Drosophila melanogaster: one gene and its partners. The protein of the gene in region 1 interacts with the protein of each later gene in a pairwise test. Each region holds a gene or a part of one and is shown in the gene's direction. Other genes may lie near its edges.

Region 1 (5,371 bases):
GTATTCTTGCACTCTCGCACTGACATCCCGCCATTTTATCACTCGGTAAGATCGATTTCTTTAGAGAAAGCAATAAATTACCCTTAAACTTCGACAGTCTTACTGCGCGCTTACAATCTCCACCGTGATTATATTCTTTTGGATTTGTGCCTGGGAAATGGATGCGCTGATATCCATAATTGGGGTCGTCTTTGATCTGGCCCCGTCCTACATGAGCATCACCTTCAACTCGGTGTCCGCTGCCACAGCTGACTTAATAGCCTACGCACATCTCGCCAAGCATGGATACGGAAAGATGGCTTTTGGAGCCATCATCGGTGGTTCTGTTTATAGTTAGTGGTAAAAGTCGATAATTGCGTGCTAGACTATCCAATGTCAATTTTCAGCATCTAAAATTGTTTTCAAATCTCAGAAAACCAGTTTCTCTAGGAATCATGCTCATCAATCATCAATCAATGATTTGGCTTCTGCTTTAAGGTCATTGTAGAGGTCATAAGTAAAACAGTCTTTTCCCGCAGGTTTGGCAGTCAATGTGGGCATCGAATTGGTCTTACAGAAGAAACTCAACTCCCGCGGTCAAGTAGTCTTGTATGGAGATGACGGTGTAACCATCTACATATTCCTGGTGATAACCATCACAACCACCTTGTGGTGGTGCCTCACCTTCAACTTTGTTGCCCGCCGATCCGCTGGGCTGTTCATGTGGTCCCTATTCGTGTTGTTCCTAGTTTACACTACGGCCATAGAGTTGCAGTGGGTCCATGGCTTCCAAGACAATATTCAGATTCGCCCGACTGCCTAATAAACCAATGTATTGCCAAGACAAAAAACACGATTATGGTGCGTTTAACTTTATTTAGCGTGGTTTGTGTCAAGGACCTAGCCAGACCAGTGGGACCAGCCGCGGATCTCGTTCCAGATGTGGGTGCCGGGGCATTCGGTGGCGCTGACCTGGCGATGACCGTACAGGATGTAGCCGGAGCTGAGCTGGCCACGGTTGACGGCGTCGTTGAGCAGCTGCTGGGCGGCGGAGATCATGTTCGGCTCCAGGGTGTCCCAGTTGTAGTTGCCCAGGAAGCTGATGCCGATGCTGTAGGGGTTCCACTCGGCGGCGTGGGCGCCCATGTTGTTCCAGCCACGCCCCTCGTACACGTTGCCGTCTCCGCCGATCAGGAAGTTGTAGCCGATGTCGGGCCAGCCCAGGGAGTCCATGTGGTAGTTCTGGACGCTCTGCAGCACGGCGTTGCACTGGGCACGGGTCTCGCAGTAGGAGCCGGCGGTGTGGTGGATGATGGCGTAGCTGAGGTAGTTGCCCAGGCCTACGGTCCATTTGGCGCCGCGACCACCCCACTCCGCCTTGGAGACGACATAGACGCCCTGGGCCATGTACTGGCTGCAGACCAGGACGGCGAGGAGGAGAGCCACTTTGGAAACCATGATTACCAGCTGTAATAGTTGACGATCGCTTGATGGAGATCGTGGGTCGCCGTGGCGCTTATATAGCATCAGTTATGCGTATGGGTTGCCATCTTATCTGGTGGTTCATGGCTAATTTACAGCCCTCGTCGATGGCACATGTTTAGGTTCGTATTAGGGGAAGACCCTTGGCGTGAGCCTCGTCACAATCGCAATCTTCGGGTGTTGATTTATTCAGCGTTTTATGAATGTGGTTCTTCTAAATAAATGCTTTATCAATGTGCTGGGGTCGACACATTGGCCGGTCACCTGAATGTCTTTGTAGAAAAAGTCAAGGAGTGTTGTTCGATTCTCGTCAGTTCTAAATTTAATTCTCAGCATATTCTTTTGACTTTGAGGGAAGAATTTGAATACAATGAGTGGGCGAACGAAAAGGACTAAATTTAACATAACAGAACTGGACCACGAATTTCACTACTTCATCAAGAATGTAAGATATTGTGAGAATACAGTGAGAAATTGGTGGCCATAGCATTTGTTGGCTCTTACAGATGAGTTGTAGGGCCGTGATGAGACTTCCGTACAACTATCGCTGCAGGATGGCCACCCAAGTGAGTGACTGCAAGCGCATTATAAACTTTTTCAATTACTTCAGGATGATGTACTGCTCAATTGACATCGATGACAAAGCAACAGAGGTCCTGTTCATGTTGCTGTTTGCCTTCATATGTGTGGCGTTTCTGTGGCTGATGTCCTTCAATATTGGTACCTAGTAAGTTTTTGGATAAAGTGCACATTCCTCTGATTGCTCATTCGAAATCCTGCATTAAGTTTTTCTCCAGTCCTCAAGATCATCTCGCTAAAGCTGCACATGAATGAGTACCTGGCAGGAGTTACCTTTCTGGCTTTTGGTAACTGCAGTCCAGAAATAATAGCTAATCTGATGCCCGTGAGGGCCGATGCACCCATCTTTACCATAACTGTGGGTAATACTCTGGCCATCATTCTGCTGAGTGGAGGTACAGTGTGTTTTCTGAGACCCTTTAGGATGAACGGACATTCCACTCTGCGAGATCTACTGTTTCTTCTCCTGGGTGTGGAGGTCCTGAGGTTTGTGATGATCAAGGAGGGAGCAGTGACCCTGGGAGAGGGTATAGGTAGGAATCTATTTTGGATTTGCCTCAACTCACTGATCTTTAAAACCTACTTTCAGTGCTCTTCTTAATTTACGTTGTTTACGTGGCTATTAATATAGCTGATTTGGCGTTGCTGCGGTACTACATCAGAAGTAAGGAATATTCCCCCAATTTTTTAATTACTCTAGTTATAATAGCAACTAATTACATTTACCATTCAGAACTTCGAAGAGAACTGGACTATTTGGAGGGCCTAACTCCTCCACCAATAACAGAAATAAATGCAAAGATAAGAAAGCTAATATCTTGGGAAGAGCAGGATGACATTGGGATTAAGGACACCACAAAGTACCGTCGGTCCAGAGACACGGGAAACCACTTCTCAAATATGACCAGTAGTGGCTACTTTGTAACCCCCATCCCAGAAAGACGATCCGAACACGTTGACTACGAGTTAAATCGCACAGCGCTCCATGACTCGGAGAATCCTAAAAACCTACAACTTTTCACGGAGTTCTTCCAGTCTCTCAATCCCGTTGATGCAGAGGCGTGGCAGCTGGGTGGGTGGAGCAATCGAATATACCTGATTGCCAGGTGCCCCCTGGTGTTCGTACTGCAGCTCTTCATACCCGTGGTGGACTACGAAAAGATCAAGCACGGCTGGAGTAAGCTGCTCAACTGCACGCAGATCGTGACGAATCCTTTCGTGGTCATTACCCTGGTGCACTGTAGGTATGCGGGAGTACATCAGAAGTGCATTTGATTCCTAAACCTCGCTGACCCTCAGCTGGGGTGTCCAGCGTCTACAAAACCTGGCACATAACCCTCGACTTCAGCATCTCCATGTGGTCGCCGTGCCTTACAGTCCCGCTAGCCATTGTGATCTTCCTGCACTCTCGAACGGATGTGCCGCCCAGCTATCACCACGTAAGAAGATCCAAAGCAGCACCACTGCGTGCTGATTAGACTCGAATGGGTATCAACCTTCCTTCCTAGCTGTTTATTATCCTCACGTTTTTCAGTTCCATGGTGACGCTCTGGCTCGCCGTCACAGAACTGGAAGTGCTCTCCGAGATTGTGGGCATCGTATTCAATCTGTCCGAGAGCTTCATGGCGGTCACCTTTGAGGCTGTCTCCAATGCCACTCCGGACATTATAGCCAATTACCAGCTGGCCTTGCAGGGCTATGGGCGGATGGCCTTCGCCGCCATAATAGGAGGTCCAGTTTTTGGTAAGCAAAAGTTATATTTTCCATTAATGGTTACCTGATGTATTCGATATTTCAGCGATTTTGGTTAGCATGAGCTTGGCCTTTATATTCAATCACAGAGTACGTGAAGTGGGCGCCAATTCGTGGGTGTACGGCGATCTGGGCGACAACTGCTACCTCTTTCTGGTAATAACCATTGTGACCACAATGTGGTGGAGCGTCACCTTCGATTTCCACGCTCGTAGATCCGCTGGAGTTTTCCTGTGGCTCGTTTACTTGCAGTTCCTCTTATATGCGGTCTGTGTGGAGTGGGATGTTGTTCATGAATTTTCCAGAGATCAGCACTTTAAGCCAATATGATTTGGAATATACATATGGTCTTGATATGAGATATGTTATTAAAAATGAAACAAGTGAAGGAAGCTCCTTAACCAGCATAGCTCCTTTCAATAATATTTAATCACGTATCGTTTACACTAAGTATATTTCATGGATTTATCTCAGCTTTGATCTGATCCCTGGTACTGCCAAATATGATTGCTTTGAAAATATACCAGCATAATTGGGATTTTGCGTCAGCAAAGGTACTGACTAATTAAGTGAATGAAGAGGAAATGCTTTCGAAAGGCGTCGGCAAAAGGCGAAACACTGACAGAGGTCCATTGAAATGCAGAAGGAGACTCCCTTGGCAATCTGTCCTGCCCCGACGCTCCACTTCTCCCTGCATTTTTCCACAGAATAAAAGCGTATTGCATAATGAAGGGAAACTGATGGCAACGAAACGATGGGGAAAGCTCCGTGTTAATTACGGTTAAAGTGTCTGGAGGAGGTTGGTGTCCCGTCAACTTTCATGGGACGGACGAGTGATTTGTGCGCCAAAGATACTCCAACTGATACTTCAGCTTTGTAGATAAACAAAGACAATCGATCAGAGAATGTTTTAACGGAGTGCAAAGATATTACTGCCAAATATATTCCTAGCTTAAACTTTAAAGTTATTTAACAAATATAGACTACTTGGATTTGTACAATAGTTGATGCCCAAGGTTGGGAAAATGTGAATATTTTTTTTGGAGTTTTCAAAGTTTACCCTGCACCGGAAGATATCTAAAGCATTCTTTCGATGCTTCGCCGGAGCAGTATTAATATCGACTGCAGATGTAGATTCCACTTGATTCCGGCCATTATGGCAACTGCAGCTGAAACATAACCATTGGATTTAAGTACAATTGCATAAACAAGAGCTGCTGGCTCAAGTGTAGGGAAAAAGACAAGGCGAAAGCCAACTTGCAGCTTCAACTACCAAGGCAAATGGCACGCAGAATTCCGGCAGCAATAAAAGCACTCAACTTCCTTCAGACTTCCCGTCTATCTGTCCATCCGTCCATCAGTCCGTCCGCCAGAACCTCTATCTGTGCACTTAATGTGACATGTTTTTGCAACAGCTTTGGTTTCTCCCCTCGCCGCCACTCGCCACTCGAGATTCCGAATCGTATTCCGATTCACCCAGCTTGGAAGGGCTCCGTGGCCATGAGATTTGATGCATTTTGCTTGTTACCAAATTGTTTTGCATTCTCCTTCACGTTCTTACATAGCCTCGCAGTCCCGA
Region 2 (4,631 bases), on another chromosome or scaffold:
TAAAACAAAAACAAACTAAATGTGCTGACCAAAGTTGGGATTGAACCGCAACCACCAGCTGTCTAGACAGACACTTTAGACAGCTTGACTACAGACTTCCTTGCATATATTTGTTGTACACGTTTCTGACTGACATAGTTTAATAGCTATGAAACTCAGCTCGACCAGCAGATGGCGTTTCGTAGCTGCTGCGACTTCACACAATGTTCGCTAGATGTCGCCGATATAATTTTAGTACAAAGTAGAATAGCGCCATCATCATTACCGGCCAAATATGGAACTTTATAAAACGCAATAGCATACTTTTAGGCTATAAATATAAAAAAAATTACAAATAAATTACATTGGGTAAGAATTTTCTTGCTCCTGAACAGTTACTTAGCTCTTAAAGAGATGAGCAATATTGAAAAGCAGATTTTCGGTAATCCCTTAAGCAACACACTCTGCATCGTACCTTCGATAAGTTTTGGCCAGCGAAACTTGGCAATCCTTTGCGGATGCAATTTGGAATTAATTATGGCCCGCTTGCTTGCCACTTGCCACTTGGCCGGGAACTTTTTGGGGGGCGAGCGGAGAACGGCCGACGCAGCCGCAACTTCGGACCAGCTTGTGCTGAGGTTACAAATTCTCATATGTCGCCACACACACAGGACGAAATGTGATGGACAGAAGGACATTTGGGGGCGAGGAGGTTTGGGTGGATTGGAAGCAGTTGACACAAGAGCATTTAACGCTTCAGCACGTTTTCAATTCAATTTCCACATCTTGAAGGCTGCGCCAAGGAAGCCGAGGCGTTGGAGCGTGCGAAAACTTAAGCAGACGCACCGAGCATGACAAACGAGGCTAAGGACAATGCCGGCAGGATAATGATAATGAAAGCGAATCGTGGGCGCTGCAAGACGACGGGCGTGGCCGGATAAAAAACGGAAGCTAGTGCTGCTTAATGAAGATGCCTGCAGTGGCAGCCTTGCAATAAATCAACAAATTACGCGGCAAGGGCTGACTAGGGGATTGTATCTCGCAGATACCGAGATACTTGGCCATATTTGTGCGCAGAAACAATAAGTGAACCGCTTAAAAATGCATAAATCAAGGCCCAAAACGCAGCCAAGGGAACTGAAACAAAAGCGAAGCGAGAAGCAACTGTCAAAATGATAATCGCCAACAACTGTTGAGGCTGTCTTGGCCTTATGACAAATGTTGTCGTCTCGAAAAGGGGGTGTGTGTGTGTGTGTTTCCTAAAACACCACCCACCACGCACTGGCCGAAATCAATGTTTGAAAAACACATTTTACTTATTAGTTTCGCTATGTTTGCGGAGGACAGGGTCACTCAAAATAGCGCATCATAATGGGACAGAGCAGAACTGAACGATTTCGATTCCGATCCATCCATGTCGGTCATAATCGTAAAAACAAATGCAAAACGCAAAAGCCAAATTCCTGACAGCACATTCCCCCAATTGTCAACCCCTTAATCCACTTGTTTTCCAAAACCCATAATCCTCTCTTTGACGGCTGCCCATTATCATAATCTTATTGTTGGTGGTGGTGGAGATTCCAGTCCAGCCCAGCTGACCATTTGCTGAAACACTTTTCGACATCTTTTTGAGTATTTTACTATGGGATGCAATCTCAAAATCGGATTATCAGCGGTCATGAAAACAGTCTTGGCAATTAATCATTGCTTAAGTAAACATAAATAGTAAATATGATTAGTATGGCAACAGTGACGGAATAATTGATTGGTAGATGAAATAAATTCACTTATGAACAAAACTTTTAGTATCTCTTTCTTAGCTCAAAGAAATATCGATATAATAAGTCAGTTGATAATGGTGAGACCTAACTTGAAGCTTTAAATTCGAGTTCTTGCGTCTATCACTTTCGTTTTTATGGTATTACTATCACAGAAGTTAGAGAGATATATAAATTATAAGCCTTCATTTTAATTCTTAACGTATTATACAAAATGGGTGAATTGCAAGCGGGAAAATCGCCCTTTAAGACAAGAAACACCTTTGATGAAAACTTAAAGATCTGGAGTGGTGGCGAAAAACGCAGTTTATTCTCACCAGATTTGTCCATTGGAGAAATTATCTTTCAACAAATGGAGCGCAATGCTATGCTCACTGCCCAGGTACTTAATAAATTTACAAGAAACAATATTTATATTCATCGAAACAAAACCTTTAGATTTCAGTTACAGAAAACACTGAGCTGACCTGGAAAGACATCCAGACAAACGCGATGAAGGTGGCAAGTTATATGCGTAAACTGGGTCTGGAGCAAGGTGACTTTGTGGGAGTCATTGGCAGGTTGACCACTCACTTGACTGCTCTGGCCTATGCCTGTTTCTTTAATGGAACTCCTTATCATGCCCTACACACCGAATACGAACAATCTGCCATCGAGAGACTGTTCGGAATAACCAAGCCACGCTTAATCTTCTGTGATGGAGATGAGTTTGAGAAAGTTCAAGCAGCCACCAAAGGCCTTCAGGTACAAATAGTAACCATGCGTAATCACCCGGCAGGAATATTGAGAATTCAGGATATTTTAACCACTCCCGTGGAGATGAACTTTCGACCAGTGCGACTGAAAGACGGTACTGATCAACTACTGGCCATTCTTAGCTCTTCGGGAACATCCGGCCTTCCAAAGGCAGTCACCATTAGCAATAGTCACCAGATTATTGGGAGTTTTCTGTAAATATTACCACCTTAATTTTATACACCCATCTAATTTATTATTTTCAGACCCGTGGATAGCTCGATTATTCAGTATAACCCAAACACTTTGGATTGGGCATCAGGCATCACGATGACCATCAATGCAGCCGTGTTTAGCTTGACTAGTATAATTGAAGATTGTGACTTTGATCCTGCCAATTTGTGTGGCCTAATTGAGAAGTATCGAATATCGATGGTGTTCGTAAGTTCCTCGCAATTGGCGATGCTGTCCAATTGCCCGGAATTCTATGCGGCGGACCTATCATCCGTGAAGTATTTCTTTTACGGCGGATCAAACTGCTCACTGGAAGTCCAGAACAAAATTCGCAGCCGTCTAAGCAACGAATGTGTAAATTTCAGTTATACACTAACCGAGTTGAACAGCCCCGGATGCCTAAACTTCAACTTCGATGAGAAACCCAATTCAGTGGGTCGTCCGGTTAGAGGCATTCAAATCAAAATAGTCAACGAGCTGGGTGAAGCACAAGGACCCAATGTCGTGGGCGAGATATGCTTCAATAATGGTCAGAAATGGCCTGGTTACTACAAGAATCCGGAAGAAACGAAGAAGATGCAGGACTCGGAGAACTGGTTTCACACCGGGGACCTGGGCTACATGGACGAGGATGGATATTTGTTCATTATCGATCGCTTGAAGGATATGCTCAAGTATCAGACCATCATGTATTACCCCAGCGAGATTGAAAGTGTCATCGCTGAAATGCCAAATGTTGTGGAAGCTTGTGTCTTTGGCATTTGGGATCCCGTTTATGGAGATAAGGCAGCCGCTTCAGTGGTCAAGAAACAAGGAACCCAACTAGAGGCCCAGGATGTTGTGGAGTATGTGAGGAAACGTATACCTGCCAAATTTAAGCAGTTGAATGGAGGAGCTTTGATTGTGGATCACATTATTCAGAGTGGCAATAGAAAAGCAAACAGAGCGGCCACAAAAGCTGAGTTTTTACGAATTATGGAGAAGAATTAGTTTTGCATATTTAATTATTGTAATGTTTATGTTGTATTTGTATTTTTATTGTATTTGTATTTGTATTTGTTGTATTTATCGTAAGCTTTTTAAGAGGTTCGCCATCTTAGGCATTTTTTCATATTCGCCGAGTAAAATAATACCGAAACACATATCGATTACAAAATCGTTAATACAGCTGATCTTTCGTAATTATGTACATTATTGCTGTGAAATAGCATTGCTGATACGAGGGGTTATAATAGCATAATTTACTTAAAAACTAATAATCGACTCAGCATTTTCTTATAATGGCTGAAATGGAAGTAAAACAAAAACTATTGAACGCGATGTGCACTTATGATGATAAACTCAAGATCTGGAGTGGTCGTGAAGCACCAAGTTTATTTTCGCCAAACTTATCAATCGGAGAGATAATCTTTGGGGATATGGTAAACAATCCGAAACTCATTGCCCAGGTGAGTTTCTTTTCTCTCGAAATCAGAGAAATGTATAGATTTGCATTGAACCACCAGATCTCGATCACGGAGGACATCGTACTCACCCGCGAAGATCTTCATATGAATGCGATGCGAGTGGCTAGTTATATGAGGAATATGGGCTTGGGGCAAACTGATATAGTGGGGGTCATGGGCAGACACACGACTCACCAATCAGCTGTGGCATATGCATGCTTCTTCAACGGAACCCCCTTACACGCCCTTCACAATGCCTACGAAGAGGCATGCATCGCCAAACTTTTTGGAATCACAAAGCCCCGCTTGATCTTCTGCGATGGTGATGAGTATGAAAAGGTTAAATCGGCCACCAAGGACCTCCAGGTAACGATAGTCACCATGCGGAATCATCCGAGGGGATCAGTGAGGATCCAGGATGTTCTGACCACTCCAGTGATGCAGAATTTCCAACCACTTC
Region 3 (5,212 bases), on another chromosome or scaffold:
CAGAAGACACTCCTCTTACTGCCCTGGCTGTGGCCAAATTGGCAGTGGACGCTGGCATTCCAAAGGGTGTGATAAATGTGGTCACCACAAACAAAGCGGCTCCCATTGGCGATCTCTTCTGCAAGAGTCCCGATGTTAGGGGTATATCCTTCACGGGCTCCACTGAGGTGGGCAAACTGCTGTTCCGGAACTCTGCTGATGGCATCAAAAGGATTTGTCTCGAGCTCGGCGGCAATGCTCCGTTCATTGTCTTCGATTCGGCGGACATTGAAAAAGCAGTGGATGGCGCCATGGCCTCGAAGTTTAGGAATTGCGGACAGACCTGCGTCTCCGCCAATAGATTCTTTGTCCAGGACAGCGTCTACGATAAGTTTGTTGGGCAGCTGAAAAAACGCGTGGAAGCTTTGAAGATCGGAGATGGTCAGGGTTGCGATGTGCAAATCGGACCACTGATCAACGAGATGCAGTTCAACAAAGTCAGTGGCTTTGTGGAGGACGCCAGGTCGAAGAAGGCGAACATTATTCTGGGCGGACAGCCGTTGCCCGACAAGGGATCCCTTTTCTACGCACCCACAATTGTCACAGATGTGCCACCCTCGGCGCAACTCTACTCGGAGGAGGTCTTTGGTCCAGTGGTCTCCATCATACGGTTCCGAGACGAAGAAGAAGCGGTAAAGAAGGCAAACGACACCAGGAGAGGCCTGGCCGGTTACTTCTACAGCGAGAATCTGCAGCAGGTGTTCCGGGTGGCCAAGCGACTGGAGGTTGGCATGGTCGGCGTCAACGAAGGCATCATCTCCGCAGCAGAGGCTCCGTTTGGTGGCGTCAAGGAGTCCGGTGTCGGACGGGAGGGTTCCAAACACGGTATCGACGACTATGTGGACATCAAGTACATTTGCATGGGCAACCTCAAGTACGACTGAAGTCCGATGGAGGGATCACCCCCACTGCTTTCATACGCTGTCTTCCACTAGAATGCGATTGGTTTATTGTTGTCTAATTGTAGAATAACACGCCGCTATATTAATAAATGTGCACAAAGTCTACCTGAAGCTAATAGATAATTTCCCTTTTTTAAAATAGCCCGCCTCACCTTTCGATTAATTGGGATTGGTTAACAATCGCTTTAAATTGACAAGAAACCGATCATAGAGACATCGATATCCGGGAGTAATCGATTTTTCTCCACCTCTGGGCAGACTATCGCCATCCCCACAGCTGTGCGACAGAGACAGAGACAAAATTACAATGCCAAATGACAAAATTGTAAGTAAATTGTTGATAAAAAATTAAAAAGTGCATTTAGGGTGGAAACTAAGCGAATGTCTTATTGGTGAAGTGTGTGCAGTGAAATTGGTCAAGTGTTTCCCTATAGCTACCCACCAAAAAAGCCGGCAAACAATGTCGGTTTTCCAGTTCGCTGGCGTTTGTTGTTGTTGCCTAAATGTATGGAAAATATATTTAAAGTGCATTTCAGCCGGCAAAAGCGAAGCATATAATGCATAATGAACCCATTTGGAAGCACTCCCGGCAGTGCAAATCCACTGCAAGTCCCGAAATGCGGCCAAAGGTGCTGGCGGTGAAATTGAATGGTACCATGACTTGTAGATTTTCCACTGAAAGAGTGCAGTCTAGGCGGCAGTAGGACTGAGGGGAGTGTGCGGGGGTTTTGAGACCAAAAACCGATCCAAAAACCAAATAAATTATTAACAATTGTTGGCTGCAATCCGCCTGGGGGAAATGCATTTGAGGATATTTCTGTCTAATAAAGCAATTTCTGGTTGATAGGGTGCTACACTCAGAAAAATGTCTCTGCGTAAAATTAATTTTTGAAATATATGTTTTGTAAAATAAGAAAACTGCACATACCAGTAAATAGCACAACTTAAAATTTTAAATACAAATTTAATATAATTTTTTTGTTTTAAAACTGCATGCAGCTTGTCTTTCAAAATGCTGTTTTATTTTTTATTTAAAGCTCATACAATTACAGATCCGAATTTACATATACAGGCATTAGTTCTCTTTTTAACTATGCACTCATTTTGGCAACGAATTGCATTTGTTTTTAATTGCGATGCCAGATAAATTTCCGCAGTCAAGTTCGCGCCTTCATGACGTACAGTTCGAAACACTAAGCAAAAAGCCCTACAGGCTTTGGTAGCTAATAGCTACACTTGACAATCCCCCTTACCCAATCTACCACCCACCACCGCCCACACAAGAGCCCACCCAACCGCCCATCACCCAGTGACCCGTCCAGAAAGTCCAGAAAATGGCCTGTGCACCACTGCTGCTCGAGCAATTCATCTACAAGAAGCGCAATTTCGCCTACGCCTTTGTGCGCCATCGTCTGTTTGTGTTATGTAAACAATCGGTTGGATCAGAAATTGCCAAATTCACCTGTCCTAGTACTAATTAGAATCTGTTATTCATTTGTTAATTCCAGCTAATTCGCGTTCAGTCGGCGGAGGGCATCAAACGCATCGAGATCTCGCCCAAGTCAAATCTAAAGCATCTGTACGACAGCGTTCAGAATGCCCTGAAGGTGGATGGATTTGGTCTCTTCAAGGAGCGCAACTTCCTCACAGAGCTGCAGGCAAGTGGCTCCCAGCTGGTGGGGACTTCCTTGAGGCATGGCGACATGGTCTACTTAAAACAGATGGCTGGCACATCATCGCGCGTAAGTTGATCATATAGAGCAGAACGATCGGGGACTAACCTGCATTTTTCACCACTTCTCAGCGCACTAGCACCACTGTCCTGGACAGTCAGGCGTTCAAGACTAGCACCATTAGCAATCCAAACAGCGCTCGTCCATCCTTCAATGTGATCGAAGATGACGTGGACCAGGCTCTGAGCAAGGCTGATGGCACCATTAAGCGCGAACGTGATAGCAAGCTGTAGGCCTTGATTATACAATTAATTGTAAAATTAAACTGATCAACCTATAACTTTTTGTAGGTGCCACCACAATGCCAACGGCCGTTGCGTTCACTGCTCCGCACTGGAGCCCTATGATGAGTCCTATCTGAAGGAGCACAATATCAAGCACTTGTCCTTCCACTCGTACATACGAAAGCAGACATCCGGCATGGATCAGGGCAAGTACTTTGTCTTCGACGACATCAATTGCCGCATCAAGCCGGGATGTCGCGAGCATCCACCATGGCCCAAGGGCATCTGCTCCAAGTGCCAGCCGTCGGCCATTACGCTGAATCGTCAGACATATCGCCACGTGGACAACGTCATGTTCGAGAACACTAAGATCGTGGAGCGCTTCCTCAACTACTGGCGCACCACAGGACACCAGCGCATGGGATATCTGTATGGGACGTACGAGCAGCACACTGATGTTCCGTTGGGCATTCGGGCCAAGGTGGCTGCCATTTATGAGCCGCCACAAGAGTCTACCAGGGATTCGATCAATATTCAGCCGGATGAGTTCGCCGACGATGTGGATGCCGTAGCCAGTGCGCTGGGACTGAAGAAGGTTAGTTAGTTATAGACAGTAGCTATGTAGCATTAGTATTGACTTTTGTGACATTTATAGATTGGTTGGATTTTCACTGATCTCATCACGGACGATGCGAGTATCGGCACTGTCAAACAGATCCGTGGCATCGAGTCGCACTTTATTACGGCCCAGGAGTGCATCACAGCTGGCGAGCTGCAGAATCGACATCCAAATCCGTGTAAATATGCCTCCAATGGCGTCTTCGGCTCTAAGTTTGTGACCATTTGTGTAACAGGTAAGATTCACGATTTAATACTGCTTAATGAACTAGTACCAAAATAGTTTTTAACATTACAGGAGATAAAACCAAACAAGTGCACATGGAAGGCTATGCGGTTTCGGCTCAGTGCATGGCTCTGGTGCGCGATAATTGTCTGATACCCACTAAGGATGCGCCCGAGCTGGGCTACGTGCGTGAATCCACGGACAAGCAGTATGTTCCCGACGTTTTCTATAAGGTAAGTTAGAAAGTCTCCCCCCCATTCAAGCAAAATCAGTTATCGGGCAACCTTTATTGAATTACGTTCACACATTTACACAAACAACTTCCATATTTAGACATCAATACGAATGGGATTTGGTTTTTCAGTTTGATACATGCAAAGAAAATTTGGGTGTCAAGAGCAACGCCAATTCAAACATTTGACATCTAGAGGCTTACATTATCTTGGATTACGTTGATTTATTTATGGAACAACTTCATTATTTTCCTTATCCTTCTCGGTTTGTACTTCTCATCATTGCTCTGGGTTCTCCTTCAAACGTTCATTTTATTTTTCCTATACCTAGGACATTCATAAACAATGTTGTTATTTAGCGCATATTCAATTGTTAAAATAACTTTCTGAGCAACTGCCAAGCCAATCACAATTTTCCAGTTATTACCCTTATTTTTTTTTATTTATTTTTATTTTGCCAAACTGTTTTGTTCTATCTAATGCTTAATTGTGATACGCGTTTTTATTATTTTGGAAAATATAAGATTTCGATTTGATTTTTTTCTTTTCAATTGAAGTTAATCGTTGATTGATTGATTACTTAAAATAATTTAAAGTATAATAAGTCTACAAATTTCGTAAAATTGATTTCGATTTGTTCCTAAAAAGATTCTTTGCCTTCCTTTACATCGCTAAGGTCATATTATTACTTGATTCCCTTATTTTTATGGATGGCTATTCTTGGCGTTCATTATTTCATCCATCACAAACATAGCCTTAGTTATGATCACATCAAATGCATATTTAGACACCGAAAACTATCTCGTTTATTTACTTATTGCTAATAGGTTTATTTCATATTAATTATTAACTTGAATTGACATTAATTACATGTCAGCTATGTATTTGGATTTCACCTTACTCGTGGTTTCAAATTTTTAAGTTTTTATTGTAGCTAATTTACTATATCCAGGTATCGTCGTAGCGCTCCAACGCACATTTAGTGTCGTTTTCCTTAAGCTAAACTTATTTAAATACTCAAGGTCTGTTACAATTTCCACCTTGTCCATGAATCTGAAATGTTTATAGATCATTGATAGTCTTTTTTTTATTTAAAATAGCATCCAAAACGTTTCAATAAGTTGTAAATTGTTTATAAAAATTCTTTCTTTCTTTGTTAAAAAAATTGGCTTCTGTTGCTGAAAATGTCGAGTTTCAAGTGTCTTACATTGATCGTTTATTTTTACAAAATTTATAC
Region 4 (5,139 bases), on another chromosome or scaffold:
TAGATTTTTACGAAGGGAACTTTAAAAAAAGGTGTATTTTATCATACTTTAACGAAAAACTAATTATCCATTTAACTTGAATATCTGACAAACCCCATTCAATAGCTAGCACAGCCATTTTAGGCATTCAGGTGAGTGCAGTGTATAATTACAATGGCTGACTAACTGAGGAAGCGAGACAGACAGAGCGAAAGAGAAGGGGACATAGCCAAAGACAATGGACACAACCAGTACATAGAGTGCGACAGGGAGCGGTAGAAGACGAGAGAGCGAGAGGGGAAAACCAGGTCCAAATAAATGGAACAGTTGCAGTCCATCCATCTATCCATCCAGCAAGCCCTTCGTCACTCACTCAGTTCGTCAAGTTGGGGCTGGAAAAATGTGCGCCATTGTTTCCAACTTGCAATTGTTTGCTGACAATTGGCAAAAAGGCAGCAAGTACTCCTCTTTTCTCAGACTTTTCCACTATCTCCCATGTAGGAAAGGCTTAGGTCATTAGAGTCAAATTAAATTAGAGTGCTAGTAGGTAGTTTCATCTTATAGCAGGTACACACTGTTTGCATTTGTCATTAGTTCGTTGTTAATTAAAACGAAGCCAAAGTGCCAGACGACAGAACTCGACACGACAGAGTGAATGGAAATCAAAATGCGCTAAAAACCGCCCTGAAACAATGGCAACACCTGCGTAATGCCCTGGCCCACCCAAAACCCTTTACACAAAAAGTCCTGGAACAAAGCCCGACCAAATGCGAATGGAGTTGGGACTCCGGAGTTACGAGCCGTTGTCCTGGCAACGCCACCACCACCAAAGCAAATTAACAAAACAATAATGTAGACACGAAAAATTGCAAAGCAATAGTAGGCACTTTGCAGGACTATATACTCCTAAAGTCCAGGTGTCATCATGCACAGATATAAAAAAATTAATTTTGGAAATGGTATTTCATGTGGGTCAAAACACTCAATCGTTAATTGTCATTCCAGTACAGAACGTGTTTTTTAGATCAAAATGTAGTACTATGTGCGAATCTACAACAGACACTACTTTAATCTTTGTCTGAGCCAAAGATAAAGTGTCCCAAAGTGGTCTGTCTGGACCAATTTTGGACTATGGCCACCTTGGTTAACATATCCACCATTTTGAGCTTGGGAATTGGCCAAAGGCGAATCGTAGTTGCGGGCCAGATGTCAGGCTCAGATCTCCACGGTTCAGCTCGATTCAAAAATAAATGTCCATTAAGATTAGTTGATTTTGCTTTCGATAGTTTGTTTTTCACCTTTTTTTTATTTTTTGGACGCTCTTTGCTGGTCTCTAAGCAAATGCGGTAAATAATCGAGAAACTCCCGAAAAGCTCACTCCCAATGGTGGCACCTCTTACCAGTAAAGAGACCGTCGTAGACCCCCACTTTACCCCCATTTTCCACTTGGCATTTCATGTAACACGAAACCTTCCCCAACCAGAAGCATTCCAATTGGAAACGCCCATCATGAGACTCGTTGTTTAGAGTGAAATGGCTATGGTGGCTTAGTAGCTACTCCGTTTATCTCGCTCGCACTCCCACGCAACACCTGCTCTGGTTGACCGCCCTGCCTCTGCATTCTGCATCCCTTTCTGTCTGACATTTTTTATCTCTGTTGCTCTCGTCTTTTTTTTCCTGACGTCGCAGTTCTTGGATTTTTTTTTATTCTTTCCTTCACGAAATGTCACCTGGTCGTTGGGCCTCTCTCTCACCAATACAACGATATTTTTGCTCTCAATTTTGAATTTGTTGTGGATGTAGTTTCTTTATAAACAGGCTTATAAAAAACATTTAACAAACCAATAAGAAAGAAAGCTCTCGGAAAAAGTATTAATCCAGAGCGAGAGAGAACACAAGCTTTTGCAGAGAGGATTTGCTGAGTATGTGTGTGTGTGCTTCTGTGGAGCGATACTGTTACATAGCAGCTGTCTCACCGCCCCACCTGCCACGCCCCCCGCCCCATTCGGTGACTGAAAGACTCGTTTTTTGGCTCGTGTGTTTTTGAAGAGAGCGCGCGCCAAGTTTTTAGTTACGCGTCGGAACGGATCCGTTGAATAGCCGCCAAAGCGCGCTTAGATGCAGCAACAGCCAACTTGGCCAAGAAGAGCCGATCAGCCAACAGCTAGCGACGGTTTTAGCCCCCTCACAAGAAACGCCAAGAAACAACCGATATTCGCAAAAAAAAAATACAAAGGATAATACTAAAAACATAAACAAACTGTTCTCGGTAAATATCCCAAAGTAAAAGTGAATCCTAAACAAACCAAACTTTTCTTTCCCATTTAACTAAATAATAAAACACAAACCAATTCAAAAAACAGTGCTCATATGATATCAACTTTCAACGCTCGTAAAGTGCTCATAGAAATGAAACAAAATACAAATCCAAATAAAGCAAAGCGATTTAAAAGTCTCATAAAGTTTTGAAATCCTAAGCTACTTATTTATCTTGCAAACTTCAAATCAAACAAGCTCCATTCTTTGTAGCATCAAAACATTGGATGCACCATAAGTATCTTATCGATGAATGGAAAGCAAACAACACACGTCAACATAAACTAGTGATATCCATTGGAAAAGTGTTCGTCAAACAGATTCTGTTACGAAACAGCTCAAGACCATAAAAGTCAACAAATTCAACATTTTATGGCAGTTCGGAAAGTGGAATTCATAAGCGACAAAAACAAACCATAAACACATATTATCCAAATAATTCGGTAGTATATTCCGCATATATGCTGCCATCGAATATTTGATTCCAATCGCCGGAAAACGGGAAATTTAAAGGAAATGCAGAACTCTTCGAGGTAACTTCATTGAAGCCAAAACATTATGGATTCTTTAGTTAGTTGTTTAACTTAGCTGCTTTGATTTTAATTAGCAAAACTACATATAAACACATTTACTTACATTTTTTTAGTAAAAGTAAAATATGATCTATGATAAAGTCTGATCCCATAGAACTGAGCATAAGTCTTAAAATTGTTTTCCAAGTTAATTGAAATTACTTCAAGTCAGAAAGCAGGTAAAAAATCAATTAAAAATCCCTTTAACCCTTTACAAATTTCATTTAATTCACCGCCGTTCAGAACGCAATTTGAACAACTTTTCTTGACCATCAATTAGGTAAACACGGAGAGAGCTCCACATAATGAGTCTGAGTGCGTCAGATACAAGGGGAATCAACAGATTTTATTGTTTGGATAATTTCAGGATTTTCCTCTTTTCATTTTCTGCGAAATCATTGTCGGAATCTTTATGCCCCACTCGAGGTGTGTTTACTTTTGCTTTCGATCTTCCACTTGAATTAAAGCAAGCTCGTTTTCTTTCTCTGAGGGGCATTCAAAGTTGTTTGGTTAACTTAATTTCGAAATATAAATGAAAACCGACTCAAGGTATGTGAAAAGCCGCAATGAAAAGAGAGTCAAAAGCACCAGAGAATTTGAAATGACGCAATTAGAGCAAATAATAGTAAAAGAAATAGGGAAAAACAACGTATGTTTATTAATATATTTACACAAAATGTGACAACAATTGAATTTAATGTGACGCGCCCCCATCATATAGAAATCGACTTTGGACCAGCACACAAAAAACCCAATTGTGCAAACAGAGTTTTCTGAAATTATTTTGCGCACCAGATGTCAATCGAATATTTTTACGCCATTCTTTTGGCCATTGTGTTCGCTTTATAAATTTGCTCAAAAAAACAGGCATAATCCAAAGAAGAGTATGAAAAAATTCTAATTAATACCCGGCTGTATCAGCACACATATGGTTAGCTGACTTTGTATCGGTTCTTTTTCTTTTCGATAGCCCTTTGGATAGCCCTTGGCACAAACTTGACACTAAACCTTGGAGGAGCAGGGTATGTGGTTATCGAGACACTGGCACGTTTACGAGGCGATTGTTGCGAGTGTGAAAGTTCTTAATTACAAACATTAGGGGGCCCAGCGACTTAGGGCCCTGAGAAGATCCGATCGCAGCGGGCGGGCAAGACGACACTTTTGAATGGAGGGTCTGCTGGGACCGAAAACCCGGTGCGTATCCGCGATACATTTCAACACAAAGTGGAGACACTTAAAGCTCTACCTGTGTTGAAGACGAGGTGGAAGACTGCAGACCGCGAGACTCCTCTTCGCCGCTAAAGAATGAGCAGAAGAATATGGCTGGGGGAGAGATCTCGGGCTCAGCATGTGGCTAAGCCGATCATAATTCTTGTTTGACATACCAACAAACGGATGAACAAATGAACGCGAAGCAGCAACAACACGGCCAACTTGGTCGGGGGTTACGAGTGGATCTATATGGCCCCCGAAACTCAAGTGGCCAGCGGGTTAATTTTACTCCTACTGCGATACGATACGAAGTCCGAAACAGAAGAACGGCTTCAGCACTCGATTTCCATGAGAAAGAGTCGGACATAAGGTGCCTCTGGTGGGTTATCTATTAAGGCTACTAGATTAACACCCTGAGAAGACCCACGCTTTTGGGTTTAACGGTTACATTTCCGTTACAAATAAATATCGGAGCTGCATTTCGGTCTGCGTGGAGGTGCAGCGAATCAAAAGGAGGAGCTGGCATATTCACAGCAAATAAAAATATCTGGAGTGCAATTTGTGCACAGCTGGTGGTGCAACCGTCGATTCGGATGGTGGCCCTGTGGTGCAACTGATACTGCAACTGCGACACTGCACCACATCGGAACAAGTGTTATGTCCACATAGTCATTTTCGGTTTTATTGCCATTTCAATTACTAGAATAATCACAAAATTAAATTAGTTCGAAAATAAAAATCCAAACATAAATGCAACTTCATATCAATTGATATATGCGTAGTGTTTTCAAAATATGAAATTTAGCGTATACCTTGAGTGGAGGCACAAATAAACATAATCAATTCATTTTTCTCAGTGTATTCTGCCAATTCGCAACATAAAAAGGAGGAGCAAAAATATGGAGAGCAACTTGACAACACAGAAATTTGTTTGCACTCCATAAGGATTACAAATATGCGTGTCCCTTTGCTAACCGCTCCCCGTTCCCAGCTCCCCCTTTTCTTTTAATATAAATTTCATGCTTAATACGCATGCTTGGGCAATTTTTACTTTAACACC

Evidence for each region.
Region 2: the proteins of CG14744 (region 1) and CG5568 interact in a two-hybrid assay, tested with the Drosophila melanogaster proteins (one large-scale study listed by BioGRID).
Region 3: the proteins of CG14744 (region 1) and Npl4 interact in a two-hybrid assay, tested with the Drosophila melanogaster proteins (one large-scale study listed by BioGRID).
Region 4: the proteins of CG14744 (region 1) and Sox21b interact in a two-hybrid assay, tested with the Drosophila melanogaster proteins (one large-scale study listed by BioGRID).

The regions. Positions count from the first base shown.
Region 1 is NT_033778.4:8,705,829-8,711,199, reverse strand, and holds CG14744 (uncharacterized protein), read left to right. Parts: upstream 1-1,713; 5' UTR 1,714-1,831; coding exon 1,832-1,906; intron 1,907-1,967; coding exon 1,968-2,188; intron 2,189-2,247; coding exon 2,248-2,573; intron 2,574-2,629; coding exon 2,630-2,704; intron 2,705-2,773; coding exon 2,774-3,280; coding exon of another isoform or gene 3,281-3,284; intron 3,285-3,339; coding exon 3,340-3,479; intron 3,480-3,548; coding exon 3,549-3,783; intron 3,784-3,838; coding exon 3,839-4,122; 3' UTR 4,123-4,812; downstream 4,813-5,371. Other genes in the region: CG14743 (uncharacterized protein), read left to right, coding at 1-45, 98-332, 519-802; PGRP-SC1a (peptidoglycan recognition protein SC1a), read right to left, coding at 880-1,437.
Region 2 is NT_037436.4:5,869,627-5,874,257, forward strand, and holds CG5568 (uncharacterized protein), read left to right. Parts: upstream 1-1,874; 5' UTR 1,875-1,971; coding exon 1,972-2,139; intron 2,140-2,195; coding exon 2,196-2,707; intron 2,708-2,758; coding exon 2,759-3,716; 3' UTR 3,717-3,892; downstream 3,893-4,631. Other genes in the region: CG18586 (uncharacterized protein), read left to right, coding at 4,007-4,174, 4,232-4,631.
Region 3 is NT_033777.3:25,620,643-25,625,854, reverse strand, and holds the start of Npl4 (nuclear protein localization 4), read left to right. Parts: upstream 1-2,109; 5' UTR 2,110-2,275; coding exon 2,276-2,377; intron 2,378-2,449; coding exon 2,450-2,683; intron 2,684-2,745; coding exon 2,746-2,903; intron 2,904-2,964; coding exon 2,965-3,493; intron 3,494-3,553; coding exon 3,554-3,752; intron 3,753-3,814; coding exon 3,815-3,975; intron 3,976-4,016; exon of another isoform or gene 4,017-5,212. Other genes in the region: Ssadh (succinic semialdehyde dehydrogenase), read left to right, coding at 1-923. UniProt on the Drosophila melanogaster protein: May be part of a complex that binds ubiquitinated proteins and that is necessary for the export of misfolded proteins from the ER to the cytoplasm, where they are degraded by the proteasome.
Region 4 is NT_037436.4:14,128,247-14,133,385, reverse strand, and holds the start of Sox21b (Sox21b), read left to right. Parts: upstream 1-2,061; 5' UTR 2,062-2,248; exon of another isoform or gene 2,249-2,828; intron 2,829-5,139.